Linked DNA regions of Arabidopsis thaliana. The protein of the gene in region 1 interacts with the protein of each later gene in a pairwise test. Each region holds a gene or a part of one and is shown on either strand. Other genes may lie near its edges.

Evidence for each region.
Region 2: the proteins of CRK13 (region 1) and SMO1-2 interact in a protein complementation assay, tested with the Arabidopsis thaliana proteins (one large-scale study listed by BioGRID).
Region 3: the proteins of CRK13 (region 1) and AT1G17145 interact in a protein complementation assay, tested with the Arabidopsis thaliana proteins (one large-scale study listed by BioGRID).

What each region holds. Positions count from the first base shown.
Region 1 is NC_003075.7:12,148,173-12,153,518, reverse strand, and holds CRK13 (cysteine-rich RLK (RECEPTOR-like protein kinase) 13), read left to right. Parts: upstream 1-1,880; 5' UTR 1,881-2,100; coding exon 2,101-2,974; intron 2,975-3,059; coding exon 3,060-3,197; intron 3,198-3,288; coding exon 3,289-3,398; intron 3,399-3,492; coding exon 3,493-3,703; intron 3,704-3,778; coding exon 3,779-4,016; coding exon of another isoform or gene 4,017-4,020; exon of another isoform or gene 4,021-4,103; coding exon 4,104-4,248; coding exon of another isoform or gene 4,249-4,321; coding exon 4,322-4,627; 3' UTR 4,628-4,846; downstream 4,847-5,346.
Region 2 is NC_003075.7:11,954,314-11,958,812, forward strand, and holds SMO1-2 (sterol C4-methyl oxidase 1-2), read right to left. Parts: upstream 2,606-4,499; 5' UTR 2,383-2,605; coding exon 2,047-2,382; intron 1,969-2,046; coding exon 1,646-1,968; intron 1,305-1,645; coding exon 1,157-1,304; intron 1,064-1,156; coding exon 1,031-1,063; intron 871-1,030; coding exon 811-870; 3' UTR 527-810; downstream 1-526. Other genes in the region: AT4G22758 (PPR containing protein), read left to right, coding at 4,164-4,499. UniProt on the Arabidopsis thaliana protein: Non-heme iron oxygenase involved in sterols biosynthesis by catalyzing the removal of the first methyl group at the C-4 position. 4,4-dimethyl-9-beta,19-cyclopropylsterols such as 24-methylenecycloartanol are the preferred substrates.
Region 3 is NC_003070.9:5,859,552-5,864,571, forward strand, and holds AT1G17145 (RING/U-box superfamily protein), read right to left. Parts: upstream 3,340-5,020; 5' UTR 2,967-3,339; intron 2,708-2,966; 5' UTR 2,691-2,707; coding exon 2,487-2,690; intron 2,391-2,486; coding exon 2,339-2,390; intron 2,251-2,338; coding exon 2,205-2,250; intron 2,116-2,204; coding exon 2,034-2,115; intron 1,936-2,033; coding exon 1,785-1,935; intron 1,689-1,784; coding exon 1,622-1,688; intron 1,288-1,621; coding exon 1,221-1,287; intron 1,139-1,220; coding exon 800-1,138; 3' UTR 527-799; downstream 1-526. Other genes in the region: AT1G17147 (VQ motif-containing protein), read right to left, coding at 4,103-4,399.

The DNA.
Region 1 (5,346 bases):
AACATTTGACTGAGAAACATGCGACCAACGGTTCAATGAAAACTTGCGATCGAAATTTAATGGACGTGAATATATGCATGTACAATGCAAACACAATTGCTTGCTGTCCTAAACCAGAACAATATATGATCTTGAAAATATATTTAAAATCTTTTGTTTTCTCCTTGTAGGCTTTCCTGTTGTGTTTGTACCAAGCGGGAAAACTGGCGTTTTTACACCCAATGATAAGTATGATACAAACCGTCGCCTTCTCCTCTCTTCTCTAGCTTCTCATGTTGTAGCTCGAGGTGACTTCTACAGTAATTCACTTGGCCAAGTCTATGATCGGGTGTATGCTTTGGGGATGTTCATCTCAGTTGTTGAACCAAAGGTTTGCTCAAACTGTATCGACCTTGCTTCTAAAGAGGTGTTAGAGGAATGTACCAACCAGACAGAAGGCATTGCCTGGCCCGAAAATGGGATTCTTTGTATGGTACGTTACTCCAACCGTTCGTTTTCTGGATCACTTGAGATGGAACCAAAGTATATATGCATGTACAATACTGGAGATATCGGATCCGAAAACTTTGATAACCTGTGGGACGACTTGACAAGTCGTATGATAGCTGGAGTTATATGATCGTTTTGTGCGTGTTTGTAACATATTTATACTATCTATAAAAAGGTTTTCTTAAAAATGGGGATGGTTTGATGATATAAGGTTTTGTCCGAACCGCATAACTTCCTTTTCCGGTAAAAGGTTGGCAAGCCGGATATCGAGATTGGAAGGGACAGTGCTGAGCATGGACAGGTAGGGGGGGTGAGTTTTGTGCTTTAACCTCGATCCGCTTGTGCGAAGTACTCGTCACATGTACGATTCTAGCCGGGCTATTTCTAGCACGGTTCATGATCGCTACATACAAAGCCTTTTTATTTTATTTTAATTATGTAATCTCAAGAGCCGTTTATGTTTCTGTACAATATTGTGTGATCACTACCAAATGATCTGAGTGTATGCCATGGTGATGCTTCTATAAACCCTATAATCTCTTCAATCTTGTGTGACTAGGATATGCTTGGTAGTTCTATAAAATGGTGTACAATTCAGTTTTTTTTTGGGTTTGGTTTGACATGGGAGTATGTGATAGGTTCATCACTCTGGTAACGTGCTACACAAGTAACTGAATCTTTTTTGCAAAACCAATGAAAGAAGGATATACTACAAAACCGGTTAATTTGCAAAACCAATGACACAATACATAGCCCTCTGCAACGATCATCTGATCTTCTGCATCTGCCTTTGCTTCGTCAGGTTTGGTGATAGGAGACTTAGAAGTTTTTGGGTTCAACGGTTAACACATATGGTTAGGAATGATGATGAAATTCAACGTTTTCCACTAGCCCAAAACCATTGACTTTTGTCGCGGGTCCGTTTCACGCCGTATATGTCGAACATGGAGGGTTGAAGGACCACTGTTATCAGTTTGACGAATTCAGTATTTAGATATTTTCAGAGAAACTCGATTTCTTTTTTAGTAAGCTATAAAAAACGCGTAAACAAAAGACAAAGAATTAGCGATTAAAAAAAAACTAGGGATAATCTTTTAAAGAATTAACGCTTAATTATATCTAAATCATTAACTGAATAGTTCATTATTCACGTCTTATTAGCGAATGGAGATAGTGCGCTAGGTTATAATAGGAGCTAAGGTAACTTAGAGCTCACGAAAGAGTAAGGACTCATCAGGAACTGGTGGCTGACTGGTGCTTTTTAAGGGGTTTGTTACGTGGCAATTGCGACGTCTTTTGAATGCGTTTTGGTTTTAAAGGTAAGAAATTGGTTAGGAAAAAGCTACGTAATTTGGCCGTGGATGAGTGTTAAATGTTAATGGTACCTCGACCCCAGCCTCCTGACCTAGTACATATCTACATTATTATTTGAAAGGATTTAAACATAATAATACTGTATGAACAGAAAAAAATGAAATAAGACTTTTGATTTTCATCTTTTGTTTTGTGACATTTAGAAAGTTTCTGAGAAACAACAATTGCTGTTTAAATTGCTAAGGAACGAACAGATGTTTAAACACTAAAACAAAGCTATAATCTCTAAGGCAAAAAATGAAGCAGAGGAGTTTATTATCAATCCTCTGTTTTATCCTTCTAGCCTCTGGTGTTGCTTCTGTTTCAGCACAAACATGCATAGAGAACCGTAAATATTTCACACCCAACGGTACATACGATTCAAATCGTCGTCTTATCCTCTCTTCTCTTCCTAACAATACCGCGTCTCGAGATGGTTTCTACTACGGTTCCATTGGAGAAGAGCAAGATCGAGTCTACGCATTAGGGATGTGCATCCCGAAATCAACTCCAAGTGATTGTTCTAACTGTATCAAGGGCGCGGCAGGCTGGTTGATACAGGATTGTGTCAACCAGACAGACGCGTACTATTGGGCACTTGATCCAACGCTGTGCCTTGTCCGCTACTCCAACATTTCTTTCTCAGGATCTGCAGCTTTTTGGGAGATTGAGCCGCAGTATTTGGTGTTGAACACTGCAACTATCGCCTCAAATCTAACAGAGTTCAAGACAATATGGGAAGACTTAACATCTCGTACGATTACTGCAGCCTCCGCAGCAAGAAGCACACCATCGTCCAGTGATAACCATTACAGAGTTGATTTTGCGAACTTGACAAAATTCCAGAATATCTACGCATTGATGCAATGCACGCCAGATATTTCTTCTGACGAATGTAACAACTGTCTCCAACGAGGCGTACTTGAGTACCAGTCATGCTGTGGAAATAATACTGGAGGCTATGTTATGCGGCCAATCTGCTTTTTCCGGTGGCAGCTTTTTACATTCTCTAAGGCTTTTCATAACATTACCTTGGCTACTACTCCTCCTCTTTCTCCTCCTCCACTGCAACGTCCTGTGGTTGCGTCACAACCACCTTCTGCAGACAACCGGGACAAGAAGAGAGACAATAGTAAGTCCTTGCAAACTTATGACTTAAAGTTACAGTCACAAGACTCTGTCCAAAGACTTATAAGGTTTTTTTTTTCATTCTACAGGTAGCGGAAAAATCTCAATGAAAACTATTCTAGCAATTGTTGTGGTTGGTATAGTCATCCTCATCATCATCTCGGGAATTCTTGCTCGCCGGTTTGCTCGGAAGGAAAAACCATATCAAGAAGTTGAACTTAATCAAAGTGAGTGTTGTTCATTTGTTTTATTTGGCCTCTAAGCTTTTACCAAATATATTGTCTATGGAACTAATTAGATCATTTATTAACATTGTAGCTGGTATTACATCTGTACGCTCCCTGCAATACAAATTTAAGACGATCGAAACTGCAACAAATAATTTTTCAGAGAGACTTGGTCATGGTGGATCTGGACATGTTTTCAAGGTATCATTTCTTTAGCTACTTGTTTCATTACTTCTCTTGAAAAAACTTAAAACTACAGAGTCAAAGTAAGCTAACCATACTGTCTCATCTTTAGGGAAGGTTGCCTGACGGAAAGGAAATTGCAGTGAAGAGATTGTCAGAAAAAACAGAACAAAGTAAGAAAGAGTTCAAGAACGAGGTTGTTCTTGTCGCGAAACTTCAGCATAGAAATCTTGTTAGACTTCTCGGTTTTTCTGTCAAAGGAGAAGAAAAGATCATAGTCTACGAGTATTTGCCCAACAGAAGTCTCGACTACATCCTCTTTGGTAAGAAAAGATACAAATAATAGGGTTATATTCTCTGAAACACTACTTCTTGATCTCATATCCTAATTTGTGCAGACCCTACAAAGCAAGGAGAGTTAGACTGGAAAAAGCGGTACAAGATCATTGGAGGAACTGCTAGAGGGATTCTATATCTTCATCAAGATTCACAACCCACAATCATACATCGTGACCTCAAAGCGGGTAATATCCTCTTGGACGCTCATATGAACCCGAAAGTTGCAGATTTTGGGACGGCAAGGATCTTTGGGATGGACCAAAGTGTAGCTATTACAGCGAATGCAGCCGGAACTCCGTAAAATTCTCTTATATATTACTCATGATGGTTATGAACTTTAATTGCAAGAATATTTTCTTGACCAAAGTAGAATTAATCTTGTAGCGGTTACATGGCCCCAGAATATATGGAACTAGGCGAATTCTCGATGAAATCTGACGTGTATAGCTATGGGGTCTTAGTTCTTGAGATTATATGCGGCAAGAGGAACACGAGCTTCTCATCTCCGGTTCAGAATTTTGTCACATATGTGAGTACTATAATCGTATCTCACTGTTGTTGTAACTGTAAGATTTGGATTAGATCATTGAATTTTGTTTCAGGTCTGGAGGTTATGGAAAAGCGGGACACCATTAAACCTCGTTGACGCAACAATTGCAGAGAATTATAAGAGTGAAGAAGTGATAAGATGTATCCACATTGCGCTCCTATGTGTTCAAGAAGAACCTACAGATCGTCCTGACTTTTCGATAATCATGTCGATGCTCACTAGCAATTCCCTCATCTTACCTGTTCCTAAACCACCTCCATCCTTCATTCCAGGTAGACCAAACCAATCTACGACGAGGCCCAGTTCCCAAAATATCAATGATGGAAGGTGGTCCTTGTTGAAAATGATGTTCCATTGAGACATTGGAACTTGTTTGAAGTAAACTATGTTTTTGGTATTTCAGTTTAAACTGTTATGAATTATTCATAAAGTTATGTATGTGTAAATTGTGAGATACTCATCAAAGTAGTTATGTACACTTAGAATTTTCTATTCCCTACATTTTTATACGAGCTCTTTGTTATAAAATCCGTTTAGATGGTTTCTCAAACATTGCCTTCAATCACTTTGATGCTTATACCAGCTCTCTTCCACTACACTGTGGTCTGTGGACTGATATTAAAAGTTTACTTGGTATGGAAGTAAGCTATTTAGTTGACGGTTCCTTCTCTGTTTTGAATCAACCTCTGCCCATCCTCTGTTTTTTCTCGACTCTGTTTTAGGATGAGGCTTGGGACTAATAATATACACTTGTAGATATTTATCCCACATAATTCTCTAGAGGACTTGAAGACGCTATATACAAGATTCTAGATACTGGATTCTAGATACTGGATCGATTTAATTAGTAATTGGTCAAATAATGATACCTGACCCATAATAAAAAAAAAACTTGTCAAAAATCAACTTCATATTTCAGTACACTTGGAGCTCGTATGCATATTAACTCGGCTTCATTGAATTAATTCTCATTTCATACTCCATTGTTTTCAGTTTTGTTTTTCATTATGTTTACATTCATCAAACAAGGACAGGTCATCCAATAAGAGAGACTTGGTCACAAAAATTCCAAAACGA
Region 2 (4,499 bases), 190 kb from region 1:
TTAAACCAAAAAAAAAAATATAGCCTCACACAGCTACAACCCCATTCTTGAAGTTATTATCATATTCACTGTGTCCATGGTAATTCTAAGACAACGAGAACAAGGAAATGTGTGTTAAAGAAAAACTGTGTGTTGTTAGGTTTAGTTGAAAAAACACAGGAAGGAAGAGAGTGTTTCGATTTTAAAGTCATAAATTAGTTGGTAACAACTAAATAAGTTATTGTACCTACTACTGTACTTAAAACTGTTGTTTTCAAGTTTGGTGAGACAGCTTTAGTAAATGCATGTGTTTCGCTTGTTTTAGCCTTCTTTGATTAGATTTGTTTTCCGAGAGTGAAATCGACCCCCATCATCAATGCAACTATCGTTATGGTAAGGATTTTCCTTTTAAATCATGCCACTCAAATGCAACAAAAAGGAAAAGAAACGCCCACCGTGGGGCTCGAACCCACGACCACAAGGTTAAGAGCCTTGCGCTCTACCAACTGAGCTAGACGGGCCTTGTTGTTAACGTTAGATACTTAAGTTATACTTAACTTAACTTAATACTATCAGAGTAGGAACTTGTTACAAGCCAATGAATGCACTATGTAACATTTAAAATATACAAAAAGGATTTATTGACACACACCAATTCCAAAAGAGTTTTAAAAAAAACTTCAGATAGGAACTCGTCACGAGCATTTTCATGTGACACAGGGAAGACCAGAACAGAGAAAACTAACTACCCTTTCATTTTTAAGTATTGACTACATTTGTAGAATGCTTGAAACTTACGGTAAGTCAACCTCGCGAGGGGTTTTAGATTTACTAATCGAATTTCTCTCCTCCATTAACCAGCTTGTTGCTCTTCTTGGACTTCTCCTTCATCTGCAACTCATAAGATATAGCATCAAGAAACATATCATCAATATGATGATACTAGATACCACATATACTGTTATGTGAGCTTGCAATTTGATGGCTGCGTTTATGGGTATGCGGTATGCCGAGAGATAAGCTAGTCTCAGTTTATGGAGTATTTATTTACCTGCTGAAGAAGCTTCTTCTGGAATCGGTAACCCTGATGAAAATAAGAACATATACCCACATTGTCAAATTTTTATCCAGAATTAGTAGACGCTAACCGGAAAAGAACTGAAGTTTCATTACTCACTTTATCAGTTCCATAGATGTAATCGCAGTAAGTAAAAACTGAAGCAAAGTTACTCTGGCTTTGTCCTCCAACGTAGTGATGGTAATCATGATACTCAGCTCCACCATAAAATGGAATGTACTTTGTCAGAGACCATGGGAAATCATATCTTCAAAAGAAAACGAAAAATAAAAAAAACAAGTCAATTTATCTCCAGAGAAACAAGTTTCATGCACCAAGCAATCATCATATTGTCCAAATACTTATTTGAACAAGACAAGATGCTTATCATCTCAAGAATGATTTCTTGCTCATGTTGACCACAAAAGATTAACTAAGCAGTCTCTAAACAATCACCTAGAGCTAATTACAGTCAATAAAGCATCAGAAAAGGCTAGTGCCTAACCTTAGCCCCACCAACAAAAGGTAAACGCACTATTGAAACTTCCCACATAGCCCCAACGCATTATAAACTAAGATAAACAATTCAAAACCATTCCTTTTCCTTACCCGCTATGAGTTTCGATAGCCTCAATCTGTCGTAAAGCAATCCACAACCAAAAGGTAATCATATGACCAGGAGCAATAGCAGGTCCAAGAAACGTGGGAATGCCAAGAAGCAAAACCTCAGCCCAATGAGCATAAGGAGCAGCATAACCAATAGGAGCTGTATACTCATGATGAATATGATGAAACTTCTCATAACCCCATTTACAATGAAAGAATCTATGAACCCAGTAATTAGTATAATCCTCTACCAAGAAGTAAACCACTAACTGTGCTACAATCTCCATACATGATGGTAATGGTAATCCACTTCGTATCTCAATCATCTGTTTCAACACACGAAAAACAAAATCAACCTAAATCGCATCAATTCCGAAATTAGAAGCCAAATTCCAGAAATTAACCTGAATCGAAGGATAAGAAACGAGTTGTAATGGACCAACGACGAGGATGAACATCTTCATGACGTCTTTGTAACATTTGAACATCGATGAGAATGAGTTTTTCACTTTTGGTTGGATTTTGTAGCGATTGAACAAATCTGAGGTGGATTGAGATGATTCGATGAAAACGAGAGGGAGAGGAACGAGAGAGAAGATGAGGAAGAGGAAGAGAATGTTGTGGCAGTAGAGGTAGTAATCGGATTTGGTGGCGGAGTAATCGAACCAGAGAGTCTCTAGCCATGTGAGGTTTCGAGATAATGCGATCGACGCTTCTTCGATTGTTGCGTATGGGATCATTGTAGAAGATGATGAAATCGTTTCCTTCCGGTGACGGCGACGGTCGTTGACGTGAGATTGAGATTGAGATTGAGAGAGAGAGTGAGAGAGGAGAGTGTCGTCGTTGTTGTTGGATTTTGTCTGTTATGATTTGGCGAATATTTGGAGTAGTGACGTGGCATTATCGGTTTAGTTTACAAGTGTGATGTTTACTTGTTGAACCGGATTAAACCAAAATTACTAACATTGTCTCAAGATCTCGCTTACAACATAAAAAAGAGGGACAAAATGGCCCATACTAAAAGCCCATTATAAATTATTGGGCCATTAAAATGGATAAAATGTACTCCACAGTAGCGTTGTGTTTGGAGTAGGCCCAATTTTCTTTCTTTAATTGTTTAAATGGTGCATACAAATTTCTGTTTTTTTTTTTAAGAAAAAAAACTTTATTATACACTTGGATATACACATATATATAAAGACACGGATATACATACACGAGTTTTGTGGAATGTGTCTATGAATTTTTATGACACCATTATACTATAGAGATAGCAAAAGGTTGAAATAAATTGAGGCTGTTGGCCAATTGTATTTAAGTAATAGAATGGTATTACATCATCACGAAAAGTGACGTTACATTTGAAATTATAAAGTCTTACAATTTTTTCGTCATGACAATAAATGATATTTAAATGTAATAATACATATTTTTTAAGTTTCAAGTATACATAAAAAAGGGTCACAAACGATCGTTGTTAAATACTTGGTGGAAAACAAGTGCGTTACGCGTGAACATGAGTGCGTATGGCATAAGAGAAGTCGACCACACCATTAATGACTTTAAATCAAGCCCAAAAGTTCTTTCTTTTAACAGTGGAAACAAACCTCGGACCAATCTCAGCCACACAAATTCTCCTTTTTATTTTATGTTGTTTTTTCTTGACGTTGATGAATTCTTGTTTTTGGTTATAAATTTTTTATATTACTTCCATTACTCAGCACTTTCGTAAAATTTAATGAATTGATGATACTAGTTGAGTCTCCCTCCTCTCTAATTGTTTATGTGTTTTTTTTCATTTGTTTATGTGCTTCTCACTATCACCTTAGATTTTTTGTGTTTTACGAAACTTGTTTGGGTTTCTCGTTTTCTTGTTTAACGTGTCAACTTTTCTACAAATCCAATAGTTTTGTTTCCTTTACACTTTATAGGATTGTGAGTCTCCCAAGTAATCTTCTAAAACAATGCATCAAGAAATTTATATTCATTTGTACAAGTATATTATTGCCTTTTTCCAACACATTTTATCCATAATAAGGATAGATTTTTTAAAAAATACTCCGTATGCTAACCAGAAAACATTTTAGCTCCATAATTACATAGAAGTTTTAATCTAATACAGTGCTACAATTCAACGCATTTCTATTTTACTATAATAAACACAAGTACGTAAGAATCAGCACAAGATATCATACTATAAAAGAATCGATCGTCGACAGGAAATATAAATACTATATTACAAGAACCACGTCTATATTACTACCTTTAATCGTGTATTTTTTTTGGTCGGTTTGAATTTAAATGTTAAAATCCACACTTATGTTAAAAAGAAAAAAAAAAACAATTTGATTTGGAAAAACATTTGAAAAATACAAATGAAAGAAAAGAAGATAATAAAAGAGTAAAGCAAAGCAAAAGCAGAGAATAACTCTTAATTCGCTTCTTTGCCAAGCAAACCACCAAAACCTCTCAATTGTTTTTTCTTCTTCCTCCTCCTTAAGCAAAGATCATCATTCACGAAATGTCTGATTCGATTCACCGGAGAAAAGTTTCGAATCCTGTAGGAAATGGAGGTCGGAGCTCCAGAACAAGACGAACAGCTTTCAGATATGTTTCCGACAAGAATAATCGCTCTAAATCGAGTAATAAGGTTTTCGAGAGAAGCTTCTCAGAGCCGAGTCTTAATCGCCACCGCGACGGACAGAGTAATCACTTGCGGCGACCATCGCCGATGAGAGGTTTACCGATGGAAGAAGAAACAAAACCGATCGTTTACTTGCCTAGGATTCGCTCTGAGGTTTTCGCTTCGTCTCCGTCGTTGTTGAACTTATATTCGCCCTCGTCTTCATCTCCGATC
Region 3 (5,020 bases), on another chromosome or scaffold:
GATCATTTCCCATTTCGAATATAAACGCAATAGAATTCGACCTAACATGGGTTGATCAAAAAGTAGAAATGCGACTATAATAAATAATTTAGAGCAAACATATTTTTATTAGTTGTTGGAAATTAAATGTAAATGGACGCTCTAAAGTAAGAAAAAGGTGAAGTGTACTTATTCAAGAATGAAAGACAAAAGCATGTGAGTAGAGGAACTCTTAAGTAAATCACTTCAAGGCTAAAAAAACCCTTAAACTCCCAAAGATGACCACCACTCTCACTCACACTTCAATTTATGTTCTCTCTTCTCATTTAATATCAAAGAGACCAAAGCATGTGTATCTTCATTTTTGTCGTCCTTTCTTGACATTTCCTCAACTACTAACTAACTATTCTTTTACTCCTTTAGCAAATCCCCCATTCATCACAAACTCTTCCAAACTATTGCTTTCATTGATAAAAATACATGGAATTGCTAAAATGGCAAAATCCCTCATTGATGCTAAGGTTTTACCAATAATGGAATCTCACGGAATCACGATTTATATTCCCCTTTTTTGTAAATTATATTCTTCATTTCATTTTTGTGCAATGCTTACCATTCATAATAATACAACCAAACAACCAACCTTCTGTAGGAGGAATTGAAAATCGTTTTGGTTTTTCTTATTGGCACATGTATGAAGTGATCAACATACACCCTCAAAACTAACTAACAATCTAAAACCATTCACTCCCGCTAACATAATATAAACAAAAGACTATATAACAACTTTGAAGCTTTCCTCTTTACCTTTGGGAACTCTCTATTGCCATGTAACTTCCCTGGAAGTCTCACCGCCGCTATCATCAGTCATATCTGATCTTGTATAGCTGATTCCTGCTCCTTGAAGGTAATGGTTACTATCCTGTTCTATGGCATTGTAATGACTGTTGTTACCATTGTCTGGAACAAGGTTTTGTGATGCAAGGTTAACGTTTTGATTCGAAGAAGATACGCCAACCATTTGCTGACGTTCGGCAAGAACAGCAATTGCACAAGCTAGCCCACCTGATGGAGATGATGATGACGGAGTTGATGGTTCCTCATTACGATCTTTTTCTGAAATATCATCAGGTGATGTGTTTCTCTGAATTCCTGGTTCCTGTTAAAGAAAGAAAATAGTTAGGCTTATCTTATTCAGATAAATGCTATATACTTCAAAGTTTACTAACCAAACAAATTACCTGCATCGAAAGCCATATTGCTTCCATGACCATTATATCTTCAAGATCAAAGTCAAACTGACCGTCCCTGAAGAGTTTTCCAGATAACCACATATCAGTCACCTGATATGAACCACTCAGATTCAAAGTTCCAACACGTATTACCGTTGTGCATATAACTTTAGCCAGAAAGGAATGATCTGAAAATGTAATACCATAACTGACTAATAAGAGACAATTTAAGAAGGGGTTCATTTTTAAGTTTTAACTGTAACGGTTCTCGAAGCATCAAAGTTTCTCAAGAGATAGGACTAATACAAATGAAATTTAACAGCTAAATAGAGAAAAAGGCTGTTCATACAACCCCATGGCATGGATACTCATAAAAGTCATTTAGGTCCATTTCTAGGAAAATGACAAACCTTGTAACCTGAGGGTGGTGAGATGGAAGACATGATTCTTGAGATGAAACAATTTCCTCATCATCCTCTGCGTAAAAGCTACTGATTGAGATTGCGAACCAAGAATAACAAAAGTGGTAAAATTTAACACATGTTGAAAGTTGAAACCGAGAGAAGAACTAACCTGCAGCAGAACCATACTCTGTATCAAGAGTCGCTGCACTAGTGCTAGAACTAGAAGAATATGACTCCAGACGTTTCTGCATTCTTTCTTCATCATCTTCAACTTCCTTCTGCCTCATCCTTATTTTGGCTTCTATAACTCGCTGCTCTTCCTTCATAACACAGAGATAACAATATTGGCAGAATCAGCCAGTAATTCCATCACATACTCTTAAAAACAATACTGTTTCAAGATTTAAGTCTGGCTTACAATTTGTTCAAAGCTCTTCTCCTCTTTAGTTTTCCCTCCACGATACTCGACAGCATAATTGGATGTTTTGCAAAAAGGGCATCTTACATATGATAAGGAGGACTCAAAAGTAGACATTTTCATATGTAAAGAAGACCAAAAGCTTAATGCAAACTATAAGAAAAAGGATACTGAGTAGGTTGAGCTGAATTAGGACTCTTCATCCGCAGAAAGCATTCTGTATAAAACCAAACACAAAGTCAATGACTACACCGGATAAGAAACATTCTATAGTTCAGAGATGACTAACAAATACATTTCTTCACCTGTACAAATGCTTTTCATACAACATCTTGACCTATTAAGACTCGGATAATACTAGAAACACAGAAGAACAAAAAATTGCATGAGAGTTGGTCAATTTCATCTTCTTGAATGAGGAAGTAAGCAAAAAAGGAAAGACTTAAAACAAACCAGAAAGCAAATAGGACATTCTTCAAGATCATGATGGGAGGAGGGGGTTTCTTCAAGACCAGGATAACAAGGAGCAAGCTTAGACTCTAAGATGAGTTTCTTAAGCTTTTTAATGTCAACATCTTTGCTCATGTATAAACCTTGTTGTGGCTTTGTGTATCTTTCGTCCACAATCTGTCTCTTCCTTCCCAGCTTATTACCCATTTCGTCTCTTTAAATGCCTTGAAATTAAGATAGTAGAGAGACATAATAAGAACACTCAAATAGAAATCAATTTCACTTTCTACAATTCACAAAACGCAATAAAGAGCTTGTAGCAATCCAAAGCCATTTCCTTTTTTCCGAAACTAACAAACAAAGTTTAAAACCCTAAATTCCAACCGTTGATAAGAATTGAAGCAACAAATCTTTTCAAACAGAAGAAAATTTGCAAACCCTTTGAATATAAATGAGTAATAAAGTTTGAGTCAGAGAAGAAACCTTAAAAGCTTCGAGAATCGAAGAGACTTAGATAACGAATGATAAGAGAATACAAAGATCAGAACTTTTCCTTTGCGAAAGAGATATACAGTAATGTTGTCGTCGTGAAGAAGAAAGATCCGATGAAGAACGAAGAACGAAACGGTGGAGTTAGTCGGATACGAAAGAAATGAATCGTCGTCATCTCTTTTGTTTTCACTCTTCCTCTTCTTTATCGTCACGCGCCCCTCTCGCGCGTTAACTTTCTCCACGCTTCTTCTTTTTTTTTTTGTTCCTTCTGATATTTTGTCGTAAAATCTGATAGACTATTATTGTTGCAAATATTTATTTCAAAAAATAATATAAGGGTCGAAAAAAAACTTTCAAAAAAAATAAACAAACTATGCTACTAATGATTTTATTGATTGTCTTTTTTAAAAAAGTGAAAGATAATCTACATATACATTTTTGCAGCCACTTTGTGAAATAAATTTTCAAGTTGAGACTTATTTACAGTGGCTACCACTGGCATTTAATAATTGTTTTTGATAATTAGAAAGTAAATCTTCGAATTAAATGTTTGCATTTAACTACCTTTCTAAAATCTCTCTGCATTAACTATACCATTAATTACTAAAATAAAATTTCCAAAATATTTAATATCATTTAAATACTACAAAATTATCATTTTTGATATTGCTTTTTTTATGACTATAACAATTCGATTATAAGCAGCAAACCGTAAAGATATTTGATAGCAATTAATTACTACAAAATTACAAAATATTTAGACAATGATTCATAAACATATCATAAATAAGATCAACATTAATAAAATAAATAGTTTTTTTTACGAGACGGGTTGGCGGGACGGGTTTGGCAGGAAGCTACTTAATAACAATTGTAAACTATAAAATAAAAATATTTTATAGATAGATAAAATTTGTAAACTTTTATATATACTAACTTTAAGGAAATAAATTGTCTCCGCGGTATACCGCAGGTTAAAATCTAGTATAATACATTAATGCATTAAGCAAAAAAAAAGAAGTTCACCTTCTAAGGAACATTCGTGTTTCACATAGGCTTGAGATAATAATATTAAACCCAATGGGCCTTAATATTGTGGGAAAAAAAAGAACGAATTATTAGTCTAGTCAATGGTCTGACCAAAGATTATACAATTCGCCGACCGGAGGCATCTCTCTGAAAAAACTATCGAACTCCGTCGTCTCTACACCTCTTTCTGCTTCTTTTCCTACGCCACAAAACCGCTGTGATGAATCTTTGCCACCGTACCCTTGACCGGAGAATTCATAAGGACCGTCGGCGACGACTGCGTTTTTACCTGTGAGTTCTTGAACAATTGTCTTGAAGCTCCGAGCATCTGTCTGAACGTACTGTGTGTTAATGAAGACAACCTTCATCGGTTCAGATCTCACTCCTGCAGACATATTTTTGGCGTTATATGAGATTTTTTCTTTTGGTTTGCTCTATTGAGTAGTATGCCTTTTGAATCTCCCCGATATTGGTTGTATTTATATGTGTAGATAAATATATGGGAATATATATAATATTTGTGGGGAGACCGAACTTTTATCATTTTATTGATTTTTAGTTATTGTTTAGAAACATTTATTATCATGGGGACTCCTAATTAGTATTATGAACTATATGGATAAGAGAGCAGATTCTTTTATTGATATAGCATTTATATTCTATATCCATAGTTGTGGATTGGAAAAGAATATTATTATATAGATCGAATGATATTTTGATTCTAGAAATTGCTTACGTGTGGAGTTACGATCATATGCTTTCATGACTAATGACTAATTATATACTGATTAGATATCAGGGAGTGGCTCAAATTTTCCACTATTTAAAGAAATTAGAATCAACTAATCAAACGTTTTTTACCAAAAAAAAAACTAATCAAACGTTGCATATAATAAAATCTATTTTAGAGTTTTTGTAACGACGGGGTCAACTGAAACTGGAGATTGTCACTTATTTCAAGAATTTCTATACACATGTGGGGTTTATTTTTTGCAACGTTTCACCAATATTTTTCA